2 linked regions of the Tribolium castaneum genome follow. The protein of the gene in region 2 interacts with the protein of the main gene of each other region in a pairwise test. Links are inferred from orthologs where the notes say so. Each region holds a gene or a part of one and is shown on either strand. Other genes may lie near its edges. The genes, in order: Exo70 and Vps51.

Region 1 (3,826 bases), on a different chromosome or scaffold from region 2:
GTCTAATATTTATATTTAGTACTTTCTGTTAGTGTTTAATTATATTTATAATTTTGTTTTATTATTAAATGAAAAAAAAAACGAACAAGGTTTAGATTGAATTCAAATTTGCCGCCACTATCCGTAGCGCCATCTGAGTAAAGGTTTATTTCCGACGGAAAAACCCGAATAGTTCCGAAAAATTCCGGATAAAATTTTTATATTTGAACGTACTTTGTGTCAATAACGATTAACCGATTATTTGATTAATCAACTGATTACTCGATTATCTTGCCCAGCCCTAGTACCAGCACAAGTTACCAACCAGCATTGGTGAACTGGCAACACCATGGACACTCCCACCGCTTACGCTCTTCTGGTGGTTGCGTAACATGGTCAAAGACCGCTGTAAAACAGCCCCACGCACTTTACCATAAACTGTTAAATATTCATCTCGGCCGTTGTCAAGTAGCCAATTTGCGATTTTAATCAAATAGGCTTTCGTATGGTCTGGAATTTGAACAGGTGGGAGCTTTTCGCGGTTGTCAGAATTCTCGTAATTGATCAAATCGAGGAGAACGACCGGAAGCATTGGAGTGTTGTATTTGTCCAAAATTGTTTTAAATTCGGAATTGAGTTTGTCGCTACCTTTATGAAATAAAGTGGTCTAAAAACCTGTTTTAAATTTTGTTGACCTAAAAAATGGGGGTTAGACGTACGACATTTTCGAGTTCCACGCTTTGGGGGATGTGTTTTTCGAAATATTTCTGGGCTTTCGCCAGGCGATTTAATGAGTGGATGTAGTCGTCTAAATCGATACCGCTCTCACCAGGTCCTTTCTCAATTGTGCTTTCAACGTCACTTGATACGTTGTAATAGCTTATAACATCGTCGAGATATGTGAGAGTTTGGTCGATATCTGGTTATTTGAGTCAAGGAAAATCAACTAAATTTGATATTTGAGACGAAAACTAGGGGCGTTTCAAGGATACTGACTTGTGATTTTTGTAAATTTTCGGTATCATTGTAGACCGGTAAAATAGTGTCTTCAAGCCGTGAAAGACGCTCCTCAAACGAATTGAGAATCGTATCAATGCCTTTCGTGATTTGAGAGCTTTTTTTCAGTCTTTCAGTCAGCAAAGATAGGTTAGATTTCTCCTACGGGCATAAGTTAGATTATGTCACGATTACCAAATCACTGACTTTCTCCAATTTGCTTGTAATCTCATAAGTGCGTTCCTCGATAATATTCATCTTGTTTAATCCCAATATTTTGGAGAATTATTTCCAAAATTGAAGACTTTACGAGCAAAACATTATTGACGTCTTTTGTTACTAAATCAACAAACTTGACAATTGGCAAATCCCTAAACTAGAGAATGCTACGGAGGACTATAAGTTAGGAGACGAAAGAAAATACGAAATCTCAAAATTATCTGAACCCAAAAAAATAGTCCGGTGGAGTAAAAATGAGGGCGCTTCAAACGTTATATTGTTTCGGCGCCAAATTTATTTAAACCCAACGAATTCACTATTACTTGAAAAAAAACGCGAAAATATTGAGCTTTGTACTCTTAATGGTCTAAAATTTTCATAAAAAAATACGAGAAAAAAAATTATTAAAATTTTACAATTTGCGTTTCGTCCCGTATTTTTCAAGACTTTGCGAATATAGTTAAAGATACAAGGAAATAATTTTGAAGAAATTTGTAGAGAAATAAATTTAATATAAAAAATTCGTGACGCCATATCTCTATCGTCAACAGTTTAGGTTCTAAAAACGTTCAAAAACGCTCAAGTAACGGAAACGTAATTTATACCTAAACTGTTCTTCAACAGTTTATCTTCATGTTTTTATCTTCATAAAAACATGGTGTCCCGGACTTTTTTGTAAAAAATTTAATTTTCTACAACTTTCTTTTTAACATTTTTCTTGCATCTGTAACTCTATTCACAGCGTTTTGAAAAATATGGGGTAGAGTGCAAATTGGTACAAGTTTTTTTAAATATAGTTTACGATAAAATTTTTGTATTATGTTTATGTCCTACTATGGAGAATTTAATATTCTATGTGCCTATATTTTTTTCTTTGCTATGTGTTAAACGGTATACAATTTTTTTTTCAAATTCATTGGTCTGAAAACATAGGACGGGAACGTTTTATTTTCTACATCTTTTCATATCCTAACCCTTAAATATTTGTACTCTAAATAAAGTGCTACTTTCGAAATTTTCTATACGTTTTTAACGTCCTTCGCGCATTTGGGTGGAAAACATAAAGTAATGTATAATTACTGCGAAAGCAAGATGATTATTTAAAAGAAAAACATTGTCAAACTTGACAAACAACAAATCCCTAAACGATTCGAAAAAATCTAATTCTCCCTTAAATTTAATGAAAAGAAACGGAATTTCTGATTATTTGGTCTAGACACGCACCCTCTGTGATTCACGCTTGTCGCCCGTCAAATGTTTCACCCTAACTTCGGCCAAAACCACCCCAATCTTCCCCCGGCCGACTAGATTTAAAATCAATGAAACCTTACGATTTTCTCGAGAGGGGATGAATTTTCACGATAGGGGAATTTCGAGTTGACGTTGGGGAAAAGTGGAAATTGCCGGAGTGCAGAACGTGTGGCGTGTTTTTGTTTTTTTTCAGTTTTTTTGAGACAGGTGTATGGTTTTTTAGTGCGAGGAAAACCTTTTCGTTGAGTTTTTCCGATTGTGAATGGTGCTGTGAGGAAAATTCGTCCATTTTTTCAGTTTTCGTACCACTTAATCGGCGACAAGGATCATTCACAGCTGTAACAACAACAATAACAGTAGTAAAATAAAAAACAATATGCAAAGACAATTTTTTGGCATAAATTGCAAATTTTAGTTAGCCGAGACGCAAACCGGTCCATGCAGTTACCGGTATTATGCTGTCGCACTCGGCGTGGCCTCATCGAGTGTCGCCCTCTACCACCCAAATCCTGCCAACAAATCTTACTCATGCCCAATCATCGGAATCCGGAATCGAACCCGGACACATAGCGACAATCACCGGATCTTTGGCCTCGTTTCCGGATCATTACGACACGGATCACACGGATCTGGCGAGCGAATCGGACGAGGCCGAACTCAAACGAACACTTTTACGAGACGTGAGCGCCCAAAAATGCAAAAAACACAAAATATATACTTTTTATTACAGCAATGGCGCCAGTTTTTCGACAAGGTACACACGGATGATCAAAAAATCCAACAAATAACTGTTTCTGATGAGTATGGAAAGTGCTTTTTTCGCTTTTAGCATCTTTTAATATCACAAGTGAACATGTTTTCTTATTTTTTTGATGTCTATTACGTGTCTTTTATGTAATTTTATCAAAAACTGGCCATCATGTCAAATCTCAGAAAAAAAAATATTCAAAACCGCCAAAATCTTTGAAAAATCAAAATTTTGAAAATCAAGTAAACCTAAAAAGAAAAACTTTTTAAATAAACGCCACAATATACAGGCTGTTTCGCTTAAACGGCATATTAAAAGTACTGAATGTTCTAATAATTATAAGTATCTGCAAATTGTGTAAAGCCGCGATATTTTCAACATGGCGGCACTTCCGGTTATACCGGAAGTCGGTATTAACTTTCTTATTTTGAATAAAAAGATATGTTTTTTACTGCGTTTCTAGATAAATCAAGTTATTTTAAAGGGATTTTCATGAGATTTCCCTAAATTTAGCCGATACACCAATCAAATTGGCTCAATTTGGTCACGTGATCAGTTAATCACGCATTTAATTGCGGATTAAATTAATGACGTTTATAAACCGATCCTTAGTCTTAAAAATAGTAAGCACAT
Region 2 (4,265 bases):
TTAAAACAAATCACGTTTTATGTTTTAAATTGATGCCAATCACTATCCTTTGTGATAAGTGATGAGATAACACAAAATGGCTTTACATAATCCAACCTTCTACAATTTATCTACAATATTGGATGATACTGCAATGTTTTGGGTAAAAAACATAATATTTGTTTTGGAACAAAAGTGAGGTCACTGGCAAGACCATAACTATTTATTTCTAATACCTAATTAACTGTGATTAAATTCATTAACTTAAAAAATAATGAAACGATTAGAGATATTGTTGGCCACCCATTAGGCCATTAATTTTAGCTCAAGTGATAAATTTAAAAACCACGTGCTCCCTGATCAGGGCAGAGATCCAAAACACAGTTGGGTATTCAAGAATTACGACCAGACTTTCAGACTCCACTAGGCCCCTATTTCTTGTGCATTTTGCATTAATTTACAAATTCAAAATTGGTTGGTAACAGAGTTGCCAACAGAAACAGTTATTTCGGACCACTCCGTATAAAAACTATAAACGGTCTTTTTGTGGTAAAAGGCCGGGTGCCAAAACACAATTTTATTATTTTCTGGGCTAAATATGGGAATATGACTCAATAAAACATTGGAAAACGCTGATGACACCTACCTTAGTAGAACTGAGGCGGTCTCCGGTACCCTGAAGACCTGTGGGAGCAATAAATTGGGTTGCGTTTTGGTAATAAAAAGTGAAAATTGGCGTTACCTTCCATCCCATATTTTCGAAAAACGTGCTCAGCCTGGCTTGACCGGTCGTTTTTCCGCCACATGGTCCTGTACAAACCCAAAATAATCTCGTGGAGGATCACATGGTCGACTTACCTCCTGTTAGGACAACTCTGTAACAGGTTTTATCGTTGCCACTGGTCGTTTTATCCATATTTCCGGTGTTTTGACGAAACTTAGTTTTTCCAATTGAATTTTGCTAGTATTCGAGAAGGTGATTTTGTTGTGAAAGGTGAAGAATGAAAATCAAAATTTGTAAGCACTAAAAGAAATAAACCGGGTACATGATCAAATTTTACTGTATATTGATTTCATGATTTGTTATTTCGCGAAAGCGACAAAGGCTGACACGCGACACCGCACAGACGCGGGACTAAAGAAATGTGAGCGAATTTGAGTCTTAAATAAACATCGTCGCTGATAAAATTACATTTTGGGGAGGGAGTTTCGCCGCAGAGGGGTGGCCACACTGGAATCAATACACGTGGTTCCCGTGGCGCAAACTTCGAATCCCTCGCCCATTTACGCAAAAAAACGACGCATCCTAAGCACAATAACGCCAACACAATAATAATCAATCACTTTGTATCGAATTTTATTGTAAATGAGAATTTTTACTGATTTATGAACTGTTTCGAGCTTGTGCACACTCTGCCACTAGCACACCTGATCATCTGTTTTGACGTTTTGGTGACAACAATACAAAAAATGTTTTTTGAGTTCTTTTTCAATTAAGTGTTCAAAAACCCAAAAATGGCGGAGAAAAAGCCCAGCCCCTTGGACCTGAACAGTCCCAGCTTCAACCCCAACATGTATTTGGATAAATTATTCAAAGTAACAATAGCCCCTTTTTCACCCTTGAACTGACACCCTCTTGCAGGAGTCCAACTTGAAGCAAATAATGGACCACGAGAGCGAAATCGTCAAAGACACACAAACCTTGCATTCCGACATGCAAACCCTAGTTTACGAAAATTATAACAAATTTATTTCGGCTACAGACACCATAAAAAAGGTATTGGTGCGTTTTTCTTTCCGAAAAGTGAATTAGTGCCGTAGATGAAAGTCGATTTCAAAAAAATGGAAAACGAAATGGACCTCCTCGCCTCAAACATGTCGTCAATTACGTCGTTTTCCGACCAAATTAACTCGACTCTTCAGGACACAAGGAGCCAAATTAGTAAATTGTCGGGGGTGCACACGCTTTTGCAGCGCCTCCAGTTTTTATTCAAACTGCCAACAAGCTTGAAAACTCGAATGGAGGAAAAGCGATACATTGAGGCGGTTCAGGACTATTTGCACGCCCAGCGTGTCTTGGAACAGTACGGTAACTTGCCATCCTTGCAAGGCATCAAAACCGACTGTGAAACCATCCTTATTGAGCTCAAAAAAGAACTGAGGAAGCACTTCAGTAACCCTCAAGCCTCGGCCAAGGAACTGACCGAAAGTGTGGATTTGCTCCTGCAACTGAACGAGCCGGCCAAAGAGTTGTGTTCTGAATTTTTGATTTGTGCCGAAAAACGTCTCAGTGACCAACTAGTCATGCTGAAGGACCAAAGCGAGCAACGGGACATTTCCGAATTTATTGATTTGGGTTGTTCGGGATTTTTGAGCGATTTGTGTCTGGTTGTGGCTTCCTTTGACGACATGTTTATCAATCGCAACAATTTGGATAATATCGAAAATAGTGATATTTTCGAAAATTTTGCTGCAACTGAACTCAACAACTTTGTTAAACAAAACATGGCGAAGTATTTCGATTTGGTGCAAAATAAAGTCGATTTGGAGCAGGATGTTGGAGATACGGCTGTTTTAGTTCAAGCCTTGGACCGGTTTTATAAAAGGATTGAAAGTAACACACTGTGCAGGGATGTGGATTTTTCGGCGTAAGTGGATAATCGTTTTAATTATTTTTTTGTTGGTAATTTTAAGTCTTCTTTTTAATATCTGAATTCTAGATTATAAACACTATTTTAAAACACGTTTGCCATAGCAACGTGTTTTGAATAAAAATGTCTTAACAAAAAAAAATTAATAACATTTATACGAAAACGCTGAAAGTTCTCGGGTGTCTAGGTATACACTCGCATACACTCGTTGCATAACGAAATTTAAGCTTGTGTTTTCGCACTCGTATTATTAATAACTATTTTTTTATGTTTTTGAATACAGTACAAACTCGTTTTTAGTCATTTTAATTTTTAACCAATCAAAACAATACTACAAAGTGATTTTAAATGACTTCTATTTAATTAATTTTATGGAAGTTCATTTATAAGTTAGTATAATACATCACTTCATTACCTAAAATTATTTTCAAATCTACAGCGGTCTTGAGAAATCAATTAGGTACAATATAAACATTTTTTTTATGAAATATTTTTTATTTTACTGAACGTAGCTTTCAATATTGGTATTTTTCTATAGACTTTTACTGTAGATTCCGCTTAGTTTTTGAAATGTAATCTAATTTTTTTTTGTGAAAAGTACTACACAAAAAGTAAAAATACGAGCCCTAACAACTAAGGGCCGGTTTATAAAAAGCTTTGTTAAAAGTTAATTCGTCGCTAAAAGTTAACAACGCGAATGGACCAATTAAATTTGTTCAATTTGGTCACGTGATCAGTTAATCACGCATTTAATTGCAGATTAACTTAATGACGTTTCTATAAACCGACCCTAAATGTTTGAAAGAATACATTTTTGTAAAGGAAATGCATGTCAAGCTACTGAATGTTTAAATTTAAAAAGGCATATTTTTAACGAATCTGTAACAGAATTCAGGCGTTTTATTGTTCCAAATATGTTCTGTTTTGTTTTTTAAATCTTTCAATTACCACTAAGAAAGATTTCTAGGATAACTTATCATTTTGTGCCAAAAAGACACAATGATATTGAAATCAGGGCTAATAGCTGGTCAAGGCATAACATTAATGTAAGAATTACCAAATTATTAATTCAAAAGTTTTGTGGTGTGACAAGAAGCACCTTTTTTTTTAAATAAACATACCTTCGGGAACGTAATAATTTTTTTTAGAATCCCATGAAATTGAAGGTCAAATAATAATACAAAACTGGATAGTCATATGTTAAATTTTTTAGCTCCTTACATTGCCAAGCGAAGTGGGAAAATTTCATCGTTTAATTTTTTTTTCTAATAACTTATTTTCTAATAACAAAGTTCAGAAAACACTTTAGTATTTAGTATTTAGTGAATTTCATAAGTTTGAATCCATACAAATTATAAATAGTATTGTTGTAATAAAACCAGTTTGATAATAAATAAATAAAATGAATAAAAATAAAATAAAACTAAATAAAAATAAAACAAGATTTCGTCCAAACATTTAGTTATTAGGGCTCGTACTACAGAAATCAGGTTTTCACATTTTTAAAGAAAGTTCAAACTTAAAGCTGTACTACTTGTACACATAGTGCAATTAAGAACTTAAAAAATTACTGTAATAAGAAATAATAGTTGATTTTTTTAATATCTTTTTTGTAAACACTTATTAAATGTTTAT

What was found.
Region 1: the proteins of Vps51 (region 2) and Exo70 interact in a two-hybrid assay, tested with the Drosophila melanogaster proteins (2 studies listed by BioGRID). The link is inferred for Tribolium castaneum from reciprocal best matches to the Drosophila melanogaster genes Vps51 and Exo70.

What each region holds. Positions count from the first base shown.
Region 1 is NC_087399.1:7,152,578-7,156,403, reverse strand, and holds part of Exo70 (exocyst complex component 7), read right to left. Parts: intron 3,200-3,826; coding exon of another isoform or gene 3,176-3,199; intron 3,126-3,175; coding exon of another isoform or gene 2,901-3,125; exon of another isoform or gene 2,861-2,900; intron 2,805-2,860; exon of another isoform or gene 2,782-2,804; 5' UTR 1,234-2,781; coding exon 1,183-1,233; intron 1,138-1,182; coding exon 972-1,137; intron 899-971; coding exon 699-898; intron 647-698; coding exon 305-646; intron 1-304. Other genes in the region: stet (uncharacterized protein LOC657740), read left to right, coding at 2,901-3,125, 3,176-3,199. UniProt on the Drosophila melanogaster protein: Required for exocytosis. Thought to function in intracellular vesicle targeting and docking before SNARE complex formation.
Region 2 is NC_087395.1:17,182,764-17,187,028, forward strand, and holds the start of Vps51 (vacuolar protein sorting-associated protein 51 homolog), read left to right. Parts: upstream 1-1,389; 5' UTR 1,390-1,494; coding exon 1,495-1,575; intron 1,576-1,621; coding exon 1,622-1,756; intron 1,757-1,800; coding exon 1,801-2,627; intron 2,628-4,265. Other genes in the region: Ttd14 (TRPL translocation defect protein 14), read right to left, coding at 626-663, 722-789, 838-895. UniProt on the Drosophila melanogaster protein: May act as a component of the GARP complex that is involved in retrograde transport from early and late endosomes to the trans-Golgi network (TGN).